Linked DNA regions of Pelodiscus sinensis. The protein of the gene in region 1 interacts with the protein of each later gene in a pairwise test. Links are inferred from orthologs where the notes say so. Each region holds a gene or a part of one and is shown in the gene's direction. Other genes may lie near its edges.

Region 1 (10,239 bases):
GAAGAAAGCCAGTTAAGCCTCAGAAATGGAAAGACCCTGACATAACCTTTGTTACTTTTTCATTGTATGTAACTTTTATGTATTTTGACACTGTTGTTTATATTTAATAGTCAATCCTGAAATATTTTGTGATACTTTGACTGGACAGGTGGAATAATTTTGGAAACCTGGAATTCCTGAAGTATAATTCTGACTTGCTTTGTGACATTGGGCAAATCACTTAACCTCGTTTTGTTTCAGTTTCCTCATCTTTAGAAAGAGTGAAGCATCACCTTTGTAATACATACTGATCTCTTATAGTGACTAATGCTATAGAATTGCAAATATAAGTCATCCCCTCACTAAAGAAGCCTATGTTGAATATGATTAACCAATAGGCCCAATAAGGTTAGGCCTAGCTACAGGATCATGTGATGTCACAATAACATCATTCCACACTTTCTAGGCATGAGGAGGAAACTTGCTTCATGAACAGCATGCCCCAGGCAAAGGAGGTACTGCATCAGCTGCCTTGAACTGCATCCGTTGCCTCTCTACCCACAGCCAGTGAAGAAGAAAAGGGGAGAAACTTTCCTTTCACCCTCCCACTTCCCCCTCCCTGCCATATGGACATGGGGTAAAGGTATCGGAAGGCCTGGTCTGTCAACCTGACCACAGTGGTTAGTTCAGTCACCAGTATCTTCTCTCTTATGGTAGCTGAGGATGGGGGACGGGAGTGTCTTACACTTCCACTTTGTTGGAGGCCAGGGAGAATATTACTGCTGATCTCATTTAGCTGACCCATGAGACACCTTCCTCTTCAGGGGTATGTCTAGACTACATGGCTCATTCGATGGAGCCATGTAGATGAGTTTACTAGACCATAGGAAAATGAAGCTTCATTTACATCAAAATAGCCGCCGCGCTATGCCGATCAGCTATTTGGCAGTATAGCGGGACAGTCTGGATGCGCTGTGGTCGACAAGGGAAACTTTTGTCGACCTCTCCAGTAAAGCTCATTTCAGAGGCACAAGGGAGCAGTTGACAAAGGCTTCCTTTGTTGACTGCGGCGCGTCCAGACTGCCCCACTGTGCCGCCAAACAGCTGATCAGCACAGCAAAGCGGCCATTTTGATGTAAATCACCGCTTCATTTTCCTATGTCTAGTGAATTTATCTACATGGCTCCGTCAACGGAGCCATGTAGTTTAGACATACCTCATCAGTTTTTCAGAGCCTCCCTCTCCTCCACAGCAGTGCCTTTCTTGTGATGGGGGGAGCTCCGCTCCACACCGCTCACTAGACAACATGATGCAAGAAGAGAGCTTTCAGTCTCCACCCCGAAACAAAGGGCCAGAACAAGGAGGCCTGCAGTCGCTCCTTGCTGCTGCTGTGAGGGCCTCCCTTGATGCCTCATCTGTTGCATTTATTTGAGTCATACTCCCTATGAAGCAGAGGGTCCATGGAGGAGAGGCTCCAGTAACCCTTACAAAGGAAGCCCTGTGAGGAGCTGGGAGTGGGGAGAGAGCTCTCTGGTACCATCATCCTATCCACCAGGTGGGTCTGCCCCACACGCCCTAGCAATGGTGGTAGGAGTGGCTTCCTACCCCTAAGGTCCTCAGGTAGAGTTGGAGATGCTGAGTGTCTATGATGGGTGAATGGTAAGCATATGGCTGGATCATGTGTATCTGTGACAGGCTATTTGATATGTGTGATAGACTGGAGAGATGATGTGAGGGAATGACTGAAGGATTGAGAGCTGAAAGAACACAGGCGAAGGACATGACACGTACAGAAAGAGGAAGGTGAGATGAAGGGACAGCTGTGAAAAGGCACCAGCATATACCGTAAAGGGGATGAAAGGTATGGAAAATGGAAAAAGATGGAAGAATAAAAGCAATGTAGAAATAGGAAATTACTTTTAAAAAGGTGTTTAACAGAAACTGGAATGACTATGTTATAATCAATGCATGCCAATAGTGGTTTCTAATGATAATGAGCACTGGGAATTTCCCTGCTTCCAGTGGCATTCATCGTCCTCTGTAGATAAAGCTGATTCTTTTCTGCAAGTGGGTGTTTCTAAGGCATGGTTCATGGAATGTGCTCTGCCCCTCCCATCTTTAGAATGTACTAGATTGCACCAAATGACACTTTTTAAAAAAAGGTTCCTTTGGAGGTTACCCCTGGATTCCTTGGAAGAGCCTTTTCTCCAAATTACTTGTCAACATGTGAGGCACTTAAAAGTATTATTTGGATTGTGTGGAGCTGCATGCAGGCCTGGTGACAGGTGAAATGAAATGCACAAGGACCCCTGTTGCTGAAAAGCTAAAAAAGTATTACAAGTGTGTGAGAGCCCAAGGACTGAGAATCCAAGAGAATAGAGGTGCCACCCAGTTTATAAATATTCCCCTGTTGCCATGTATTGTTCCAAGAACAAGAACATAACAGAGAGACAGGCACATTGTCTGTGATATAAATGATGGTATTGATAAAACAAGTGAGAATAAAATTGAAAACAGGATGGGCAGGCAAGAATAGGGAGGAAAAAAGGTCATGTAGTTACTTACTAGCTGATACATCTTGTTTGGAAGTATAGTCTACAAACAGCATGCACAAGTATGTTTATATGTGTATTTCTAAGACACTCTAGACTCTCTTTCCAGATCTCCTCTGTCACTGTCCAACCCTCCCTACTCACCTATTATCCAGGGCATTTAAAGATCTCCTGTCCCCTGTAAACATCCATCCAAACCACACTCCAACCCCCAGGCATGCCACCTTAGAAACATTTCACATTCTATTTGCTGTCCTCATTCCGCCCTCCCCACTGCTCCTCCCAGAAAAAGCTCTCTGCTGATCAGGCAGCTGATAATGGAGCCAATCCACTGGAAGTAGGGCTTCTGCCCCTTATAGTGCTGAGGCCCAATGACCTGAAGTTCTGCTTGTGCTTTGAGTGGCTTGTTCCAGGTGGCCAAGACCAACTGGTAAAATATCAAGATCCTACCATAACCTTGAGTGCTAGTGGGATGTCTCCAACATATTGACTTGGTATGGGCAAGCCCTGAGCCCTCAGGAACATACGAATTGCCATACTGCATCAGACCAATAGTCTTTTGGGTCCAGTATCCTGTCTCTGACTCTAGCCAGTATTAGATGCACAGTCAGCTTCCAGGTAAGCCTCATTATGATCTCTAATGGTTACAGACCGCAAAGTCTTTAAATAGACTCTACATTTCTACTAGAGCAGTGGTCCCCAGCCTGTGATCCATGGACCCCTGGGGGGTCCATAACAGTACTTTATAGGGTCCATGGAAAGTTTAGGAAAGGAAAGGAAATAAAAGTAAGGATTAGGCTCACCATGGGACTGGGACTATCCACCAGACAATTCTCACGTGGGGCTCGCTGTTTGCAACCGGCCTCACCCGCATGCCACCTCTGGCCCTCAGGATGGGATCTTGATACCCCAGGAGGCAACATCCATCCTCCCACCGCTAGCTGCACTGCTATCCATGCTCAAGCCCTCTCCTGCTACCAGTCCCGCAGTGGGCCCAATCCTTCCTTTTCTTTTCCTTTTCTTTTTTTTTTCTCCCCCAGGACTCCATGCCCAGCCAAGGGTGGAGTGCTGAGGCAAGACCTGCCTTTAGCCACGACAGGCCCCTCGCCATATCCTCCATGGAAGGGCAGGGATGGAGGGGCGGGAACTGAGAAAGCAGTTCAGGCTAAGGGACGTGATAGCCACCACTTCCTTTGGGGGATGGGGTCCATAAAATTTTAACAGATTGAAAAAGGGGCCCTACGCTTGAAAAGGTTGGGAACCACTGCATTGGAGTTTAGTTTGGGTTGCATCTTAGCAATGACAGGGCTAATTTCAGTCCTGCTTGGGAGGAATTCCCTCTGATTGGTTGCTTGCCCTACCTCCTGAGGAAAAGCAACCACTCAATGCAGCTGTAAGAAGCTGGAAGTGTTCTTCCCACTCCAATCAGGAGATGGCCCCATTTCTTACAGGAGAGGAGAGAACAGAAAGAGCTCTGTCAACTAGGGTAACTGCACTTCTCCCTTCCCTCCCCTGGATTGGCTCCTCTCCACCTCTACCTCCAACACCTGGCTTGGGAAAGGGCAGGAACCTTGGGAGTTACCTCCAATCCTGCTGCAGCCCCCTGGCTCAGGAGAAGTGGGTGAAGAGCAGCAAGAAACAGGGGAGCTGAGGTGAGAGGTAGGAGGAAGTAGGGGAAAAACTCATGTGGGGACAAAATTGATGGGCATCAGGGGGCAGAATTAATTGCTGGGCAAGTGATGGCAGATGTAGAGGTGAGGGCTTCTGCAGCAGGTCCCCAAATCACCTTAACAGATTTTCAAACATTGGCAACACAAATTGTACATCCACTTGGTGGGTACAATGGGAGTGCAAAAATAAAGTCAGATCAAAACCATAACCCAACTAAATATTTTTATTGCCATGCATTAGGATAATTCTGCAGAGATGCTAAGAAGCTGGCCTGGATTGATTGGTGCAGCCACTCCTGTTGCTACTGGTGCATTTCTTGGCTTCTTTATTTGCACAGCAGCACTTCAACCTCCTTTTCCATGACTAGTGACACAGCTTCTGGCAGAGCACTGATCTTGCTATCCTGTTGCATTCACTGTATCCGGACTAAGTGTGAAACAGCTTGGGACAGGCCTTATCCCAGTCAGGGTGACTATTTTCTGTTGTCACAACGTTCAGGCGTATTTGGGGGACAGCACGCTTGTGAATCGTGAGTATACAAGGGGGGAGGACGACGAGAGACGCCCAAATAAGTCGAAGACACCTTGTGTGCACAGGAACATGGGCGAGCCCAGTACACGCGTGTGCAAAGTGGCTGTAACTGCCGGGGTGGGTCTGCAAGAAGCAAGTGAGCACAATTTGCGTGTTGAGGGGCTGGGGTGGGGGCGCGTGAGTCGGCGCGCCCGGTGTGCTGCTGGCATGCCCGCGAGCCTGGGTGAGGCGCGTGGCCCGCTGCGGCCGGCGTTAGCGAGGGTGCAGCGTGTGCGGACACGTGTCGGTGCCGTAGCACCCAGGGCGCGGCTGGGCGCAGGCCAGTGGCTTCGCTCCGTCCGCCCGCCCGCAGCCGGGCTCGAAGGGTTGGCGCGGGGCGGGAGGAAGGCGGCGGCGGCCGCAGAACAGCCCCCTACAGCAGCGGGCTGCAAGCGCTGCTCCAGCGGAGCGCACTGGAGCAGCGCCGCTGCCCTTTCTCGGCTGGCTGCCGGCTGGGCGGGGAGGCTGCCGCTGGGCTGGGGCGGGGATGGCTCTGGCTGCGGCTGCGTGGAGGCGGCGCCGGGGTGGGAGGTGGGTTTAAAGCCTATTAAAGGGGGAGGGGGGCGGTGGAGATGATGCATCCTAAGCTGGAGAGTCAGCTGAGTACGGAGCAAGATCTGGGCGGCGGGGGCACGTAGCCCCGGGTTAATACCAGCAGCTCGGAGGAGGGAGCCGGGTCCGCAGCGGCGGTTCAGCAAGGGCAGAAGTTTTCTTTGTAGCTCCCCTCCCGTACGGAGGGGCTGCCGTATATATTTTGGCGTGTGCAATGGGAGTTTAACTTTCCTCCTCCCCGCTGGGAAGACCCCCCCCCCCCCCCGTAGCTAGCATCCCGCGCTGCCTGCTGCACTCCCGACCCCACCGGAACAGCAGCCACAAAACTTGATCGGAGCGTGCGAGAGGGAGGGCGAAGGAGCCAGACGCGCACAGCGAAGCACTCGAGAGGGGGAGGGGGCACTGGTGGTGTCCGGAGCAGCCAGAGGGAGGCCACGAGGGCGAAAGAGGCGCCGGGCAGCAGCAGGTAAGAGACTCAGCAGGGCAGGGGAAGGGTGCGCTGTGAAGTGGGCATGCCCCGTCCTGCAGGCGTCCCTTGCAAGGGGCAAAGCAGCGGGATCTGGCGGGAGGAGGCTGCACGAGCAGGGAACTGCTGGGAAAGGTCCAGGACTGCGAATGCAGAATGCGCTGGCTTAGGCGCTCGCAGAACAGGCTAGGGTGAGGGAGGACGCCTGAGGCAATGAGGCTAAATTACAAGGGGACTGCGCGCGTGAATGTACATATCGCCTATAAGCTGGTTGGGAGCTTGTGCGCTGAGGGTTCCTTAGTAGCCGAGGTTGGGAGGGGGGCGGGGGAGAGGAGTACGCAATTCTCTTTCCCTGACTTCGGATTTAGTTGGTCACTTTCAAAACTTCCTCATTAAAGCGGAGTGGAAAGCTGGAGCCACCTCCCCCCCCCCCCCCCCCCGCCTCCACTGACAAGACTTCAGGCGAGTTGAGTGCGGCGAATCCGTTGTTAGTAGTTTGCCGTGCTCTCTTGTCTCTCCTCCCTTGGACCTTTATTAGCCCCTTGGGGGAGTCACTGAGCCTGTGTGCATATTTGAACCATTTCGTTGTCAGATCTGAGATCCTTTCAAGCCCGAAGAAAGGAGGAGGGGGCTGGACTGCAACGATCAGAGGGGATCTTAAGTCCACAGAATAAGGTCCATTTCCCACTTCCACCGGTTCTTAGGCGTGCTGTACTTACTGGCCTGTACTTGTATTTATCGGGAATTGAAACAGCTTTTACAGGGCCTCAGGAAAGCTAAACTGTTTCTTTTGTGTTGCTTTTCCTAGAGGTATTAAAAGTTTAGGTCTGAAATGCTACCCCCATTTTTCTCTTTTGGCAAGGAGAATAACTTGAGGCAAAGGACAGATCACAGAAGTGCCACTCCGGATGCTGCTGCCTGCCCTCTCTTACTTCTTCCCTCTTCACCCCCCCCTTCCCCAGCTATCCTCAAAAACAGATTTGGGAATAAGGGGAGTCTTTGAACATTTTTGTGGGACAGTATTTTGGTGGCTTTTGGATAATATTGGGTAGTTTCTTGTAACCCAGAACGTGTGAAATAAGGCTTGGCAGGGAGAGGTTTTTACTTTCTTGCCCTCCCCCACCTTCAACTCATGATTGGAGGTAGAGCAGGAAAAATCTGTTCCACATGGGCTCCCCTTCTATACCTTGTTTGCCTTGTTGCAAAAACTGGGACCTAAACTTTATCATCTTATAAAAGAAAGTCTGCAATTAATTGGTTTGGCAGACCATAGAATCATTGAAGATTAGGGTTGGAAGAGACCTCAGGAAGTCATCTAGTCCAAACCCCAAAGATGCACTAGTGCAAAATCTCTTAAACTGCCAGGCCCACCCTACTCTCCCCCCTTCCTTAAAATCCACATAACATTTAATTTTAGAGTAGTATGGAGAGTGCTGATTCAGCACTTGAGAGCACCACTGTATCTGCAGTGGTGTTCTGTGTAAAATGTTTTGATTTGTTGAACTGGGAACATATGTTTCTGGTATGTCAAAGCAATACCGATCAAGGTTCACAAAGCAGTACTGTGCTTGTTCATGATCTTACTCCTATAAAGTGAGAAATAACAATGGGCATTATGAAGGGGGTGGGATGTTAGATTTCTAAAATTTAACTTAATAGTCAAATGAAATTGTATTGCATCTGGGAGGTGTGATCTTCTGAACCAAGCTTTTGTAGGTGGTGTGATCAATAAACAGTTGTAAGATTTCAGTTTAACTCATTCTTAAATCCATGGGCTAGTTGTACTTACAGCATTCAGAGAAACAGAGGAGGGCAACAAGGCTAATCCTAGGATAAAAAGGAGTGAGTTATGAGGACAGTTTAAAAAAAATGTGTGGCGATTGGACAACCTGAGTGGAAGAAGGAATTATGCCTGAAATGAAATGCTGTAAATGACAACCTTGATGGCTGCTTCAGTTCATTTAGATAGGCAGACGAGGAGTGAAGGGACATGCAGAATGCTCAGAACATACACATATTTTCCCTAGCAAGGTCTGAATGGAAGCAATGTGGCTATTCAAGAAGCATATTCTTCTCTTTCCCTTGTGTTTTGTCTCAAGATGTACCGTTGTAGTCTAATGAATAAACTTAATCTTTGAGCCAAGTCAGTCTTGATATCAATCTCCTTTTTAAATAAGCTGCACAACACCGAGCAAACACAGACTAAAAAGTGATGTTTGGTAACATCTGTTATGAATGATAATGAAGGGACCCCTCCACATGCCTGAAATTATTGTTTCTTCCTCTCCCCCCCCCCCCCTTCCCACCTGCTAATATTGTAGTTCATTTGCACTCTTTGTTCTTAAAGTAGATCTTGTTTGCTCTGGCTGGATATTCTAGTGAGTTTCCTTGGTTTTTGTCAGTCAAAGTATCCTCTTCCCTACTGTGGTGTGTGTTGGCTTCCAATCTCTAACCCAGGTGTAACTTGCTTTCAAAAGAAATAATAAACACCACTTTGAAAGCATTGCTTAGATGTAAAATGGATATCTGCATTTCATGTCTACCCATGGAAAAGAACAACTGTAGTCATAAAGTGAACATTTGCAACTCGCTGTCTTGTTTATATTCCATGACTCTGAATCTAACAAGAATCACTACAAGTTACCCTACAAACTGTGGGCTGGATCCTGAATTGCAGTCCACTGGCATGTAAGGGCTGAAAGTAGCTGGATCTCCATTGCTGTGGGTTCCTTCCAAGATGGGATGTTGCCAGCTGGCATGAAGACAGTATAGCTAGGCCATGTGCCATCTTCCAACAGCCCTTGCAACACTGGTGGGAAGGGGGAGGATGTTAATCTGACAGTCCCCAGCTAGCAGATGTCCCATTGGAGACTGTTAGCAGCTGGTGTACTGCAGAGCAGCTCTAGGCTGGGAGCCACAACCAACTTCACTTAGGTTTTCCCCTTAGATTATTTGTGGTGTCTCCGTATGTGTATATTGAGGTGGTAGTGCCTCACTGTGAATGGAGAGTTGCACAGCAAAAGCCTCCTTGCCAGTCATATAAAGGAATAAAACACCAGAGGGCTTTAGGGGGTAGTACTAGCTTGCACTTGTAGGACTCTGGGTTGTACTTAAATCATTTGACTTGTTTAGGTAAAGTTATCACTGAATATAGTAAAAACTCTAATTCCTTTACTTTAAAATAACTTTGAAAGTAGACTGAACAAACATTTAAAGATCAGTTAGCAATGTTGTATAACTTAATGGGTAGTGATAGTGTTGCTGTATTAATTTCTTGGCACTGTCATTCTATCCCTCTGTTTAAAGATTTCTCTCCCATCCATACCCAAGCTAGGAAAAGCAGAGAAACTATTTTTTTGAAACTTGAGCTGTCTGACACTATGAAATGTCCAATGGGCAGGTATGACATTGGATCTTATTTTTGCAGTATTTGCAAGCATAGAATCATAGAACACTAGAACTGGAGGGTACCTTGAGAGGTCATTGAGGCCAGTCCCCTACCCTCATGGCAGGAGGCATCTTTTTACGTAGCTTAAAGTGTAGGATGAGATGTCCCCAATAGTTGAATAGACATGTCTGAGCAGGCAGATCAGCTGCATCATCTTGTGGAGGTGCCTGAGGGTCATTCATATTGTGCATTCTTGCTTACCAAGCACTATTTGAATTATGTGTGATAGGCGGACGGAAACCCGTCCACTTCTAAAGGCCCCTCCACAGCCTTGCGGGAGGGACCAGTGGACCCAGGCTTCAACAGAATACTAGTGACAACTAATGAAAAACAGGGTCAGCAGTATGGGTCACACTAAGGTTAACTATGGGCCAGAAGGCACCATAGCTCTACTCACTGTTCAGCTTTTCCAGAGAAACCCTAAACCATGTTTGTCTTAGCGTTGTGTATCAATTTATCTCAGAATCATATGGCCCTACCTGTCAAGCAGGGTGCCTATACAATGGCTCTCTGTTACAGTAAATTTTAATGTTTCAGCTTTGTTCGGAGACCAGAGTCAGTAAACATGAACTAGGTCCAAAAAGGCAACTCCACACAAGTAGGTCATGATGAACGAGGTAATTGTAAACATATGTTTACTTAAACTACTGGTAAACTGGCATCTGATTCTTCCCAACCTAAATCAATGCCAGTTTCTACTAGTTCTCAGCAGGGAAAAAATAGGAAATCAAACTTTTCTGGCAGGGTGTATCAAGCATACTGTGGAGGAAATGTTCAGCCATTCAGTGAGAGCAAAAAGGAGCTTGAGAGCCAAAGTTCTTATGAGCTGGGACAACATTGGCTTACAAAGCAACAGTTATGGTTCTCATACTTCAACTGATTTGCTGAACAGACTGATCAGTGTACTCCCATCTTGTACAAGTAGGGGACACAATTGCCAAAAGACTAAAGTGAAGATGGGTAGTGTTGAGGATATGTTAAGAATATGACCTGGTGTTGCT
Region 2 (10,627 bases), on another chromosome or scaffold:
GCTAGTGCAGGGTTGCCTCACCCCATTTGTAAGTAGGGATCCGATGTAAGTCGGATCAATGTAACCCGGGGACTGCCTCTACCTTAAATGTAATGGGGAGTGGGGAAGGCCCATATGAATGCCAATTACCAAGGCATAAGAAAAGAGCCTGGCGGGGGGGCAAGACTAGAGCCCTTACTGGAGCAGAACTCCTGACATTACTTGTTCTGGTCTGTGACAAAGTAGTATATTAATGGCTCTTAGTGAAAGATGCTGTGAAAAGGTAATTACTCATTTCATGTATAACAACCGTTCTTCAAGATGTGCATCCGGGGGGTGCTCCACTGTTGGTGATGGGTCACCCGGAGCCACAGATCCGAGCCTTGCAAAGCAGTTTCCCTGACTGGGCCATGCATTCGCAGGACGCATGTCACAGCACTCCCAACTGAGCGTCCAACATGCGTGGCCTGACCCATCCATTTCAGTTCCTTTTTAACTGCCCTCAGCTTCAGATGGAGCTTCAATATGCTCTCTCACACTCTTATCTCAGATAATATTTTAGTGTTTTGACAGTTATCCTTATTGTGTTAGAAATTCATGTAAATAGTTCTCCTTGTTCAATTTTACCTCACAAAATGTTTTTTCTTCCCTACAGGATTTGAACATGGCTTAGCTGCTCAGCTCAGAGGCAACATGAACCAGGCTCCTTCCCAGTTCTCCTCTCTTCTTTTTCTTTCTTTTTTTTTTCCAGTACAGAAAAGGAAAAGAGAAAGAGTAACACTGCAGACAAATCAATATGTCTGGTTCTTCGGGCTTCAAGAAATGTGATGAGTGCTAGGAGCCCATGCCAGTATCCGATGACCATTCCCTATGCATTTGCTACTTAGGGGAAGCCCACATACCACAGAAGTGTGATCACTGCTGCAGCCTGGCAGGAAGAGCTAGAAAGAATACAGTGCTCCACCTCAGAATTATATTATTGGACAAGGCTATGCAGCCTGCTGAAGCACAAAATGCCTCCCAAGAATAGGAAGACTCACCAAAGAAAAGAGCCACTTCTCCGACACACTCTTCCTTGAGAGTAAGTAGGGAAGAGACCAGGCACTTTGAGGACCCCTGCTACCAAAATGGCAGGCAGAGCTTACAAATTAGCCACGGCGCCTGTCTGCACTTCCTCAGTGCTGAAGCCTAGGGGTACTCCACACTTGTGGTGCCCCATAAAACCCAGCATCACAAAATTATACGGGGCTGCAGGCAAAAGTGGCGTGTTCAAATAAAGCGGCACCGGCTTCAATGCTGCCACTCTCAACTCCAGCCGTGTCAGTGATAGATACAGATCCACAGTTGACGTGGGCAACAGTGGGGAGGCCATAATCAGCACTTGACAGCCAGGGCAAACATCATCACTCATGCCCTGCCTCTACAGGTCTATCACCTGAAGAATCTCCAGCCCGCAGCTCTCCTTGCATAATTAAATTCATCTGAAGGAGTGGGTTGTGTCTATGAAAGCACATGATACCATCTACATGGGTTTTTTTTAGTTTAGCTGCTAGATTATCTGTTGTTTTTTAAGTTTAATCTATTAAAAGGCAGACTAGCAGGAGTGTTTGCTTATCAAGAGCCAAATTTATACCTACTGTGCATCTGCCATAGTTCCTGTAGTTATACCTAGGAATAATTTGGCTCCATAGTCTTGTGGTTTGTAATAGTCTTATGTTCTGCTTGCTTGAGCATAACAGAAGTCCTCGGATAACTCTACTAAAATAGATACTAAAATGTATTTTGAATTTTCCAAATAAAATTTAAAAAAAATGCATACCTTAAAAATGTTCCCTTCTTGAAATTTTGCTTGATAAACTCCCCCAAACTAACTAAACTAACTAAAAGCAAGTCCCCACAAACTAGATTTCTCCAGTGTCAGACAGAGGCCTCTTCTGAATTCTCCAAGTAAAATGCAAAGAGATATTCACATGATCTAACTGACTTCTGTCAAGATACGACATTGGAACAACAATGCTACAAGGCACAGCTGCTTCTGCAAGAGAGCTGCAAGTGCCTATTCTGACATCTTGGGTTGGAATTCTTTTTCTTGCTATCCTCCCCTGCACTTTTCTAGCCATTAGTAATAGCAAGCAGCCAAGAGAATGGAAATACAAGTTGTCAGAGACCAGAACCTTACAGTTTTGCTACAGAGGCAGATGCTCCCTCAGAGCAGTTGCATATGATTAGTCCTTCTTTCTAAAGGTACATCTACACTGCAGCATTATTTCAGTAGCCTGAAATAGCTATTCCACATCTTTGAAAGAAGCCTGTTATTTCAAAATATAATGGAGTAGTTATTCTGACATCCCTGTAAACCTTGTTCCATGAGGACTAAGGGACATTTCAGAATAGGGTTTATTTAAGCTAAAGGTGCAGTGTAGACACACCCCAACAAAATAGTCCAATGAAAGATACCACCTCACCCATCCTGTCTCTTCAGTCTCCCAATGGAGCTCATTCTAAATGCTAAGATTTTTCCAAATATATGTAATGTGGTCATAGGCAGCGAGGTCCTTGGGTACCATGGGCCCATATAACAGGAATATTCCTATCTCATCTACACCAAAGGTTAGGGCCGGGTCTCACCCCGGCAATAGATGACTTGTGGCAGCACCCAGGAGGTGCACTGCACCCCCGTGCCTTGTCAAAATTGTAATTGCTAAATGGAGTGCTCTTATACCCCCCTCCCTGTTCCTCTGAGTGGTCCTCCCTACTCCCCATCCCTTGCAGACACCAGTTGTCTATGCTCCGGCCCCTGCGCAATCCCCTCTCCCCCATGTCCCCCCCCAGCCTGCCTGCTGCTCAGGGTGATTTAAAATGACCAGGGGCCTCCACTACCACCACCATCAGCCCAGTGGGGCTAAAGTGGCTTCCAGACACATGCTTGATGCAGCTGCTAGCAATCTTTCCTCACAAATCATGCTTTCTAGAATTTTAATCATTTTTGCTGCGCTCCTTTGGACCTTCTCCAATTGGTACACAACTTTTCTGAAATATGGAGCCCAGAACCGGACACAATACAATACTCCAGTTGCAGCCTTAACAACATGGAGTAGAATGGAAGAATTACTTCTTGTGTCTTGAGTACAATAGTCCTGCTGATACATTCCAGAATTATGGCTTTTTTTGCAACAGTGTTACACTGTTGACTCATATTTACTTTGTGATCCACTATCAACTCCCAGACATGGTCAGTATAGAGGAAAGGGAAGACATTGCTTCCCCTGGATCTTAATGTCCAAACACCTACCTCTTCTTACCCCTAGTCTGATTCTTCCTGCAGGCTCCAACAACAGGGTGTTTCAGCCTGGTGAGTCTGCCCCTAGAGGCAATCTAGTAATTTCAAAGTGAAAAGTCTTACAACTTGCCAGATCTATCAGCATAAGACTGAAACTGTTCAAAGAGCCATTAAGCAATAATGGAGTAATTTAAAAAGCATTTGCCATCCTGGAGGTATATACTGTCAGATTCTGAATGTACTTGACAAAAATAATTTTGCATTCCTGCAATATTTATTCAATCTATTCGGCTACAGGACCTTAGTTTACAATTTGCTTAAAATATTTAGTCAGTTTGTTGCGGCAGTAGATTATAAAACCACACATTTAAAACATCCTTGCATAGATTTTGAGATGCAGAATCTGAGTATTCATCTTTAGCCTTACATACTTGGATCTTCAGACAAACAGTTCTTTAAATTCTTCAAAAGATCTTATTTAAAATACACATTTTAATTACTATAATACAAAAAACTTGCTTCCAAAGTCGTCTTGTTCTTTCTATCTATCTCTGCTGTAATCTTTCTCTTTTCACTCTCTGTTCAAGAGAGTCCTTATAGGGACAACACCTCTTTTCTTCTACATACCTGGTTAAAATGAATTTTCCCTTTTTTTACTTCTGACTATTTGATGAACTACTTTTACGAGAACCCTCCACCAAAATCAGTAAGGTATAAAATCTTGTTATACCTAAAATATTTAGACATATTTTTAACATTAATATAAAATGAAATTTTGTAAATATGTCTATTGTTATGGAGATTACACAAAATAAATTAGTGTTCCCTTTTTCTAAAAGCAATGAATATTGTGATGAACACACTAAATTGCTCTGATTAATTTAAACTTATATTTTTGCTTCAGTGTCTTAAATCTGTAGTAATCTGGAATGATTACTTGTGCAGGCTTAAGAGTAAAATTAAAATATAAAATCAGCTCAGAAATACTGATTAAAAAAAATTAAACAAAGAAGAGCTGCATCATCTATTCCATAATATTTAATGTTATATTCAGCAGGACAGCTGACCTGCCCTTACCACAAAGTTTGTGCAAATAAATCTTTGACAAACTTCAGGGTATATATAAAAAAAACTTGTGACTTTTTTTATTCCCAAATAAATTTAATTAGGTACCTTCTGCAGGTCCAGTCTTCACAATCTGGCATGCAGTGGATAACATGTTCCATTTTCGTTAGAAAGAAATTGTAGAAGAGTGTTTTTTTTTTTCAAATGTCATTTTCTACATTTGGATTCAGGGATTTTGCTTAAAGGGGGTAAGCAGGGCAGGGAAAGAAGAGAACAGTGGGGAGAGGGCAGTGCCTGGGAAGAATGTCTGGAGCCTGCAGTAGAATATGGGCAGGGCCAAAGCCTGGGGAGTTCACCTTCCCAAGAGATAGCTTCATCCAATACCCGTGCCCCCAGAGCTCTTTCCATAGTACTCCTTCCTAGACAGTCATTTCCCATGTATGTGTGTGCAAGTGATTGTTCCTTCCTTAGTGCATTTGTCCTTTTTTAATTTAATTGTTTACTTCAGACAATTTCTCAAATTTGTCCAGATGACTTTTAATTTTAATCCTATCGTCCAAAGTACTTGCAACCCCACTGAGCTTGGTATTGTCTTCAAACTTTAAGTGTACGCTGTATAATTTTAGTCTCAATCATTTATGAAAATATTGAACAGAATCAGACCCAGAACTGATACCTGAAAGACCCCATGTGATAGACCCTTCCAGCTTGACTGTGAACCATAACTATTCTACAGGAATGTTTTTCCAACCAAATATGCATGCACTTTATAGTAACTCCATCTAGGCTTTGTTTCCCTAGTTTGAGATCAAGAGGGACACTAACAAAAGCCTTACTAAAATCAAGATATACAACATCTACCACTCCTCCCCTGCCACATCCCATCCACAAGGCTTGTTTCCTATCAAGCAGAGCCATTAGGTTAATTTGTCATGATTTGTTCTTCAAAAGCAACATTCCTTGATAAGCCATCATCACCTTATTTTCCAGGTGTTTGTAAACTGATTATTTACTCTATTATCTTTCTGTGTTCTTAAATTAAGAGGACTCATCTGTAATTACCCAGATTGTCTTAGTAGATTGCACTATATTTGCCTTCCTCTGCAATCTCTGTTTTGCATGAGTTTTCAAAAATAATACCCAATGTCTCTGATATTTTCTCAGTCAACTCCTTGACTATGTTAAGATTTTTTTCATCAGGTCCTGAACACTGATCAAGATGTCTGCCTCTGTGAGAAAGCAGTGTGAATAACGTGACAGGGTGATTTCTGCATATGAAGTGTGACTACAGTTGCCAACTTTCTAATCACATAGAACCAAACACCTGCCCTGCCCCACCCCGTGTTCTAAGCCTCATCCCACTTTCTCCTGCATCGCTTGTCCTTTCCCCAAATTCAATGGAATGGGCCAGAGGATTGGGTTGTGAGACTGGGTGAAGACTCCAGCTGGGGGTACAGGATGTGGGATGGGGCCAGAAATGAGGGATTCAGGAGGGGGCTGTGTGCTGGAGCAGGGGTGCAGGAAGGATTCTAGTTGGTGTTGCCGACTGTGGAAGTAGGAGGGGGCTCTCGGCTGGGTTTCAGGGGTTTAGAGTGTGGGAGCAGGCTCAGGGCTGGGCCTGCAAGCTCTGGGAGGGGGATCAAGGCACTGGTTCAGCTAGGCTGTACTTACCTTAGGCCAGAGGCACAGAGGCACTAAGACAGACTCCTGCCTGCCCTGGTTCTTTGAGACGCTGGGACAGGGCCAGTATGTCTGGCTCCTCGACAGAAAGTCTGGGGAGGGAGGTTTTCTGGGCACTGCCCCCACAGCTCCCGCTCACAAAGCCTCCCGGCCAATGGGAGGGGCGGAGCTGCTACTGGAGGCCGGGGGAGCGTCCCTGCTGAACACTCCTGGGAGGCCCGGCAGTTCCTTGTCCCACTATGCGGCCCTTTAACGCCCCGCTCAGCACTGCTGACCCGAGCCGCCCGCACCCCTTTTCCAGGCAGGGCTGGCTCCTTGTCAGAGGGCTCTGGATCACCCAGGTCGGGCGGGGTGGGAGAGCTGGGCCCAGAACAGAGGCAGTGGGGAAGTACCAGAGCACTTGGGCTCCCGCCCGGCCCGAGCTGGGTGCATGCGGAGGACTATGGCCCGTGCCTGGCCTGGGCCCTAGGGTAGGATCGGGGCTGGGCGCTGTCCCGACGCAGCGGCCTCGGCCGGCCTCGTGCTCTCTCTCGAGGCCCGGGCCTGGCACTAGGGCGGGGGCTCGCGTCACCCCGCGGCGGCCGTTAGCGTTGCGGAGCTCGCGCTCTGTTCGCGGCGCGCGCGCGCTCTCAACTCGCCGCCGTTCCCATCCGGGGCCTGGGTGGGTAGGTGGCGCCCTATATCACGTGACGATGCGTGGCGGCGCGACCGCCATCTTGTGTTGTTGGGACTGAGGAATTGCTTCGGCTGTGAGAGACTCTCCGTCCGGGATCGCAGGTAATTAACCCCGTTGGCGCCGGCCGGCTCCCCGGGGCGGCCAGGCGGTGCCTGAGCCTTTCTCCTTCCCGTCCGGGACGTGTCAGCCCCGCCGGGGCGGCCCTGCTGCGGGAACGTGCCTAGGCCGCCGTGGAAGCGCCGGTGTCGCCTGCGGTTGCTGCCCGGGGAAAGGTCTTTGCCGTGGGGTACAGAAGCCAAGGAGGCCCGCGGCCTTTGAGCAGCCGAGGTGACTTGGACTTGGCTTATGGGCTATAGGCCTTGCCGGAGCCTCCGTTGTTCGTCTTTCCCCCCGTCGCTTGCGCGGAGACGCAGCCGCCTGCCCCTCTTCCCACTTCCCGGTGGCTCTGACTGGTGGAGGCCCCGTGCAGGCGGCCTTTGGCAGCAGGTCCTGCCGTGGGTTGGGTGAGTGCTGGTGGGCCGGAGCCTGTCAGACACCTGCGGGATTTCTTGGGTCATTCCGGGCCATTTGTGGTCCCTGCTCGTTCCCTTCTTCCCCTAACTCCTGCGAGCGCTCCTCGCCCCCCTCAGCGTCTTGGGCGAGCCTTCGGGCAGGGTCCGTTCGCACTGACGCCTGTCTCCTCTGAGCATGTCTGGCCTTGTCATACTGCAGACACAGGAAGAAAAGAGCTGGTTCAGGGCTGAGGCGTCAGTAGGATCGGTGTTAAGGGGAATAATCATCAGCAGCGTGTGACCCTAAAGGCTGTGGTAGGGCGAAGAGCCCGTAGATCAGGATCAGGTGTGTTTGGTTTTAATCCAAGGCAAGTAGTCTCAGTGTCAACACAACGATTCCAGCACCTACGAGCATGTATAATTGCAGTTTAAATCCAGACAAGTTGGAGGCCAAAGGGGTCAATACTTATTGACGTGGTTGGAGTATTAAAAAAAAAACAACCCATATTCTGATTTGCTTCAGAATGATGGTCTTGGGGGTTTTCTTTTTTGGTTACTTTTGCCATTATTTTACGGTCCATATTTTGTTCTCTGTTTTATTTCTGAATGCTGCTGTTGTACTTTTAATTTAATCATTTTTGGTTTATCAGCCTTTGATTTCTTGCTTCAAGAGCTAGCATGTGTCACTTTCCAAACAAGTGGATTCTTCTGGCATTTGTTGAACTCACCTATTGCTGCCAACTCTCTTAGTAGTAGAGATGGTAGGAGCACTAGTGGCCACTAATTTATCTAAATCTTGTTTAGATCAGAGTTAGTTGATTTTATGGTAATTAGTCTGCACCCTGTCACTACTAACAGTAGGTGCAACAGTAGGTGTTTTTTTTAAAAAAAGCATAGCTATGCTAACTCAGTGAAGTAACTGGTGTCAGAGCACTTGTCACAGAATAGATTCTTTACTGAGCATGGACAAAATGCAAGATTCTGTTTACTGTGTTAAATAGGTCAGAAATAGGGGTACCATCACTTAAGTGATATGTGGCACTGAAAATTTACAGCAGTGATAGCAAGACTTGGCAGCTTCTTGATTCCATTGCTGTCTTAATATCTCTCTTCAGTTCTCTAACAAAGCTGTAAATTATTTGTTAGTGATTTCAGGAGGTGGACAGAGAAGCCTTGTCTGGGCATGTGGAGGTACTTGCACAAAGATTGCATTCTCTGTCATCAGGTTTGCTGCAGAGCCTTTTTTGAACAAATGATTTCAGCTAACAATTGAAATGTAGAATATTTATATTGCTATCTTGGTGTACTATTCTTCCTTTGCAAATACACAGGTTTCTTGATGTTGTAACACATCAGTAAAATAATTTATCAAATACATGAAAAGTTTTTGTAAAGCTCTGGGGCTTTTTTCCTCTATTTTTACTTTGTGAGTCGGTTTCACTATTTCCCACTGTATTGTCAGTCATCTTGCTTTCTGAAAAGACTAACACCAACTGGAGAGTTGAAAAGTCTTCACATTTTAAAGAAAAACTATGTCCCTTCTTCCAGAGATGTATTATCTATAAGGTCTGCCAAGAGACTGATATTTTTTTAAAATTACGAAATAAAACAAATCAAGTTGAATAATGCCTTTCACATTTATGAATGCTTCAAAAGAGGCAAATGAAGTTTTCCATTTGGGATGAACTGTAAAATTGAGAGATGATGAATAGCCCACTTGCACATTATCTGGGTGGCTGGATGTACTTTTTCTGAGTATACAGCTCTGTGAAATTATATTAGTAGCATACTAGAACACTGAAGAAAAAGATAACTTAAGGTACATCTACACTACAAGCATTGCAACAGATCACAAAAGGATATTTCTCTTTTTTAGTAAATCTAGAATCTCAAGAGGCAGTGGCTAGTAGGGATGTAAAAATATGTTTAAAAATGTAACTGTGTAACCACTAAAAATCATAGCATTTACACTTAAATAAGCTATGCTGCAGAGCCTCCAGCACCTGTAACCGCTCTGATTTTTAGTGGTTACATAGTTACATTTTTAAATGCCTGGCCCTGCTCCCAGGGAGCCAGCATATAATCTGATGGGGGAAGGTGGATCTGGCTTGCCAGGGACAGGGGTTGCCTCAGCCCCTACCTGTAACCAGAACCTGTAAGCCTCACCCATTAAGGTGAGGCCTACTGGTTAACCTTTTATATCTTTAGTAGCAACATCAAAAGAAGATTTTTTTTTTTACACCTGTCAATCTACCTACATTTACAGTCGTGGTTAGGTCACCCTCATTATGTTTCAAAGGGTGTGAAGGTTTTTATACAGTTTTGAGAGAGCTAGCTAGATCACTTAAGTTTTAACTGTAGACCGGGTCAGTTAAAAGTGGCCTACAAAGGAGAGTTGGTGGGAGACCCTTGCTGCACATTTTGTTGATTATATTTCTTCTTTACTGTGTTCAGGCCTTCCGTTGTCTTGAAGTTTTCTGCTTGTGTTTAACATTTGAAATGTCAAATATATTAATTTTTTTTTACTGAAGATTTAATTGGAAGTCCAAATAACTGATACATGAGTGTTTCCTCCCCAATGCTCTCCTCCCTCCCATTATTAAAACATTTCACAAAGATCTTGCCTCCAAACTGTTCCTTTGAGTGTTTGAGTTAAACACCTGTTAATGAACAGTCCCATTGTCTTTAAACAGTCTGATTATTGTCATCTCAATTCAGGATTCCTTTCCTTGGCTTTTGTGATGACATGGTTATATTAACTTTCTAGTATGCCCATTCAAGGAAAAATTTGGATAAATTATACTTTGACTGTAAAACGGAACAAAAAACTAACAAGGATTTTAATAAAACAACAAATGGTCTTGTAGCGCTTTATAGACTAACAAAACATGTAGATGGTTTCATGAGCTGTCAAGAAGAGATGTTTAGTTATGGTAATTATAATGTACATGTGAACATCCTGCCCTCTTGTGGCTGGCTGCATATTAAAAAGAATATAGGGCCTTGTTACATTACTTTTCTGTAACTCACTGTATTACAGGGGTGGGGAACGTAAGGCCTGGGAGGCTGGATGCAGCCACTGGTTTACCTAGATCTGGCCCCCAAGGCTTGGGGCTCTCCTCCCACCAGCATTGCAGAGCTTGTATTGGTGCTTCAGTGTCCTCCCCACCCACCCCAGTTGTTTCTCACTTGTGTGAGTCTCCTGACTGATTTTTGTTCCTGTGGGTCAGTCTGTCCATCCCCCCCACCCCACCCAAAAAAGGTTTTCCACCACTGTTTTATTAGCTCCAGAGGTAGTGGCAAGGTGTGAAGATAAAGGATCAGGGTCTCAATCACAGCTTTGTAAGTTTGGGTGACTTTGTTAGTATTTTAGTTGGAAGTGGTGGGTTTAATACACAATGATTTTCAGCTGTCTTTCTCAGAAAACAAAGAAACTTTGTGAACCTGCTTTTTGAA

Evidence for each region.
Region 2: the proteins of GRB10 (region 1) and GIGYF2 interact in a two-hybrid assay, tested with the Homo sapiens proteins (2 studies listed by BioGRID). The link is inferred for Pelodiscus sinensis from reciprocal best matches to the Homo sapiens genes GRB10 and GIGYF2.

The regions. Positions count from the first base shown.
Region 1 is NC_134712.1:156,340,630-156,350,868, forward strand, and holds the start of GRB10 (growth factor receptor-bound protein 10), read left to right. Parts: upstream 1-5,320; 5' UTR 5,321-5,790; intron 5,791-10,239.
Region 2 is NC_134720.1:4,775,843-4,786,469, forward strand, and holds the start of GIGYF2 (GRB10-interacting GYF protein 2), read left to right. Parts: upstream 1-6,654; 5' UTR 6,655-6,781; intron 6,782-10,627. Other genes in the region: uncharacterized protein LOC102449525, read right to left, coding at 4,433-4,478. UniProt on the Homo sapiens protein: Key component of the 4EHP-GYF2 complex, a multiprotein complex that acts as a repressor of translation initiation. In the 4EHP-GYF2 complex, acts as a factor that bridges EIF4E2 to ZFP36/TTP, linking translation repression with mRNA decay.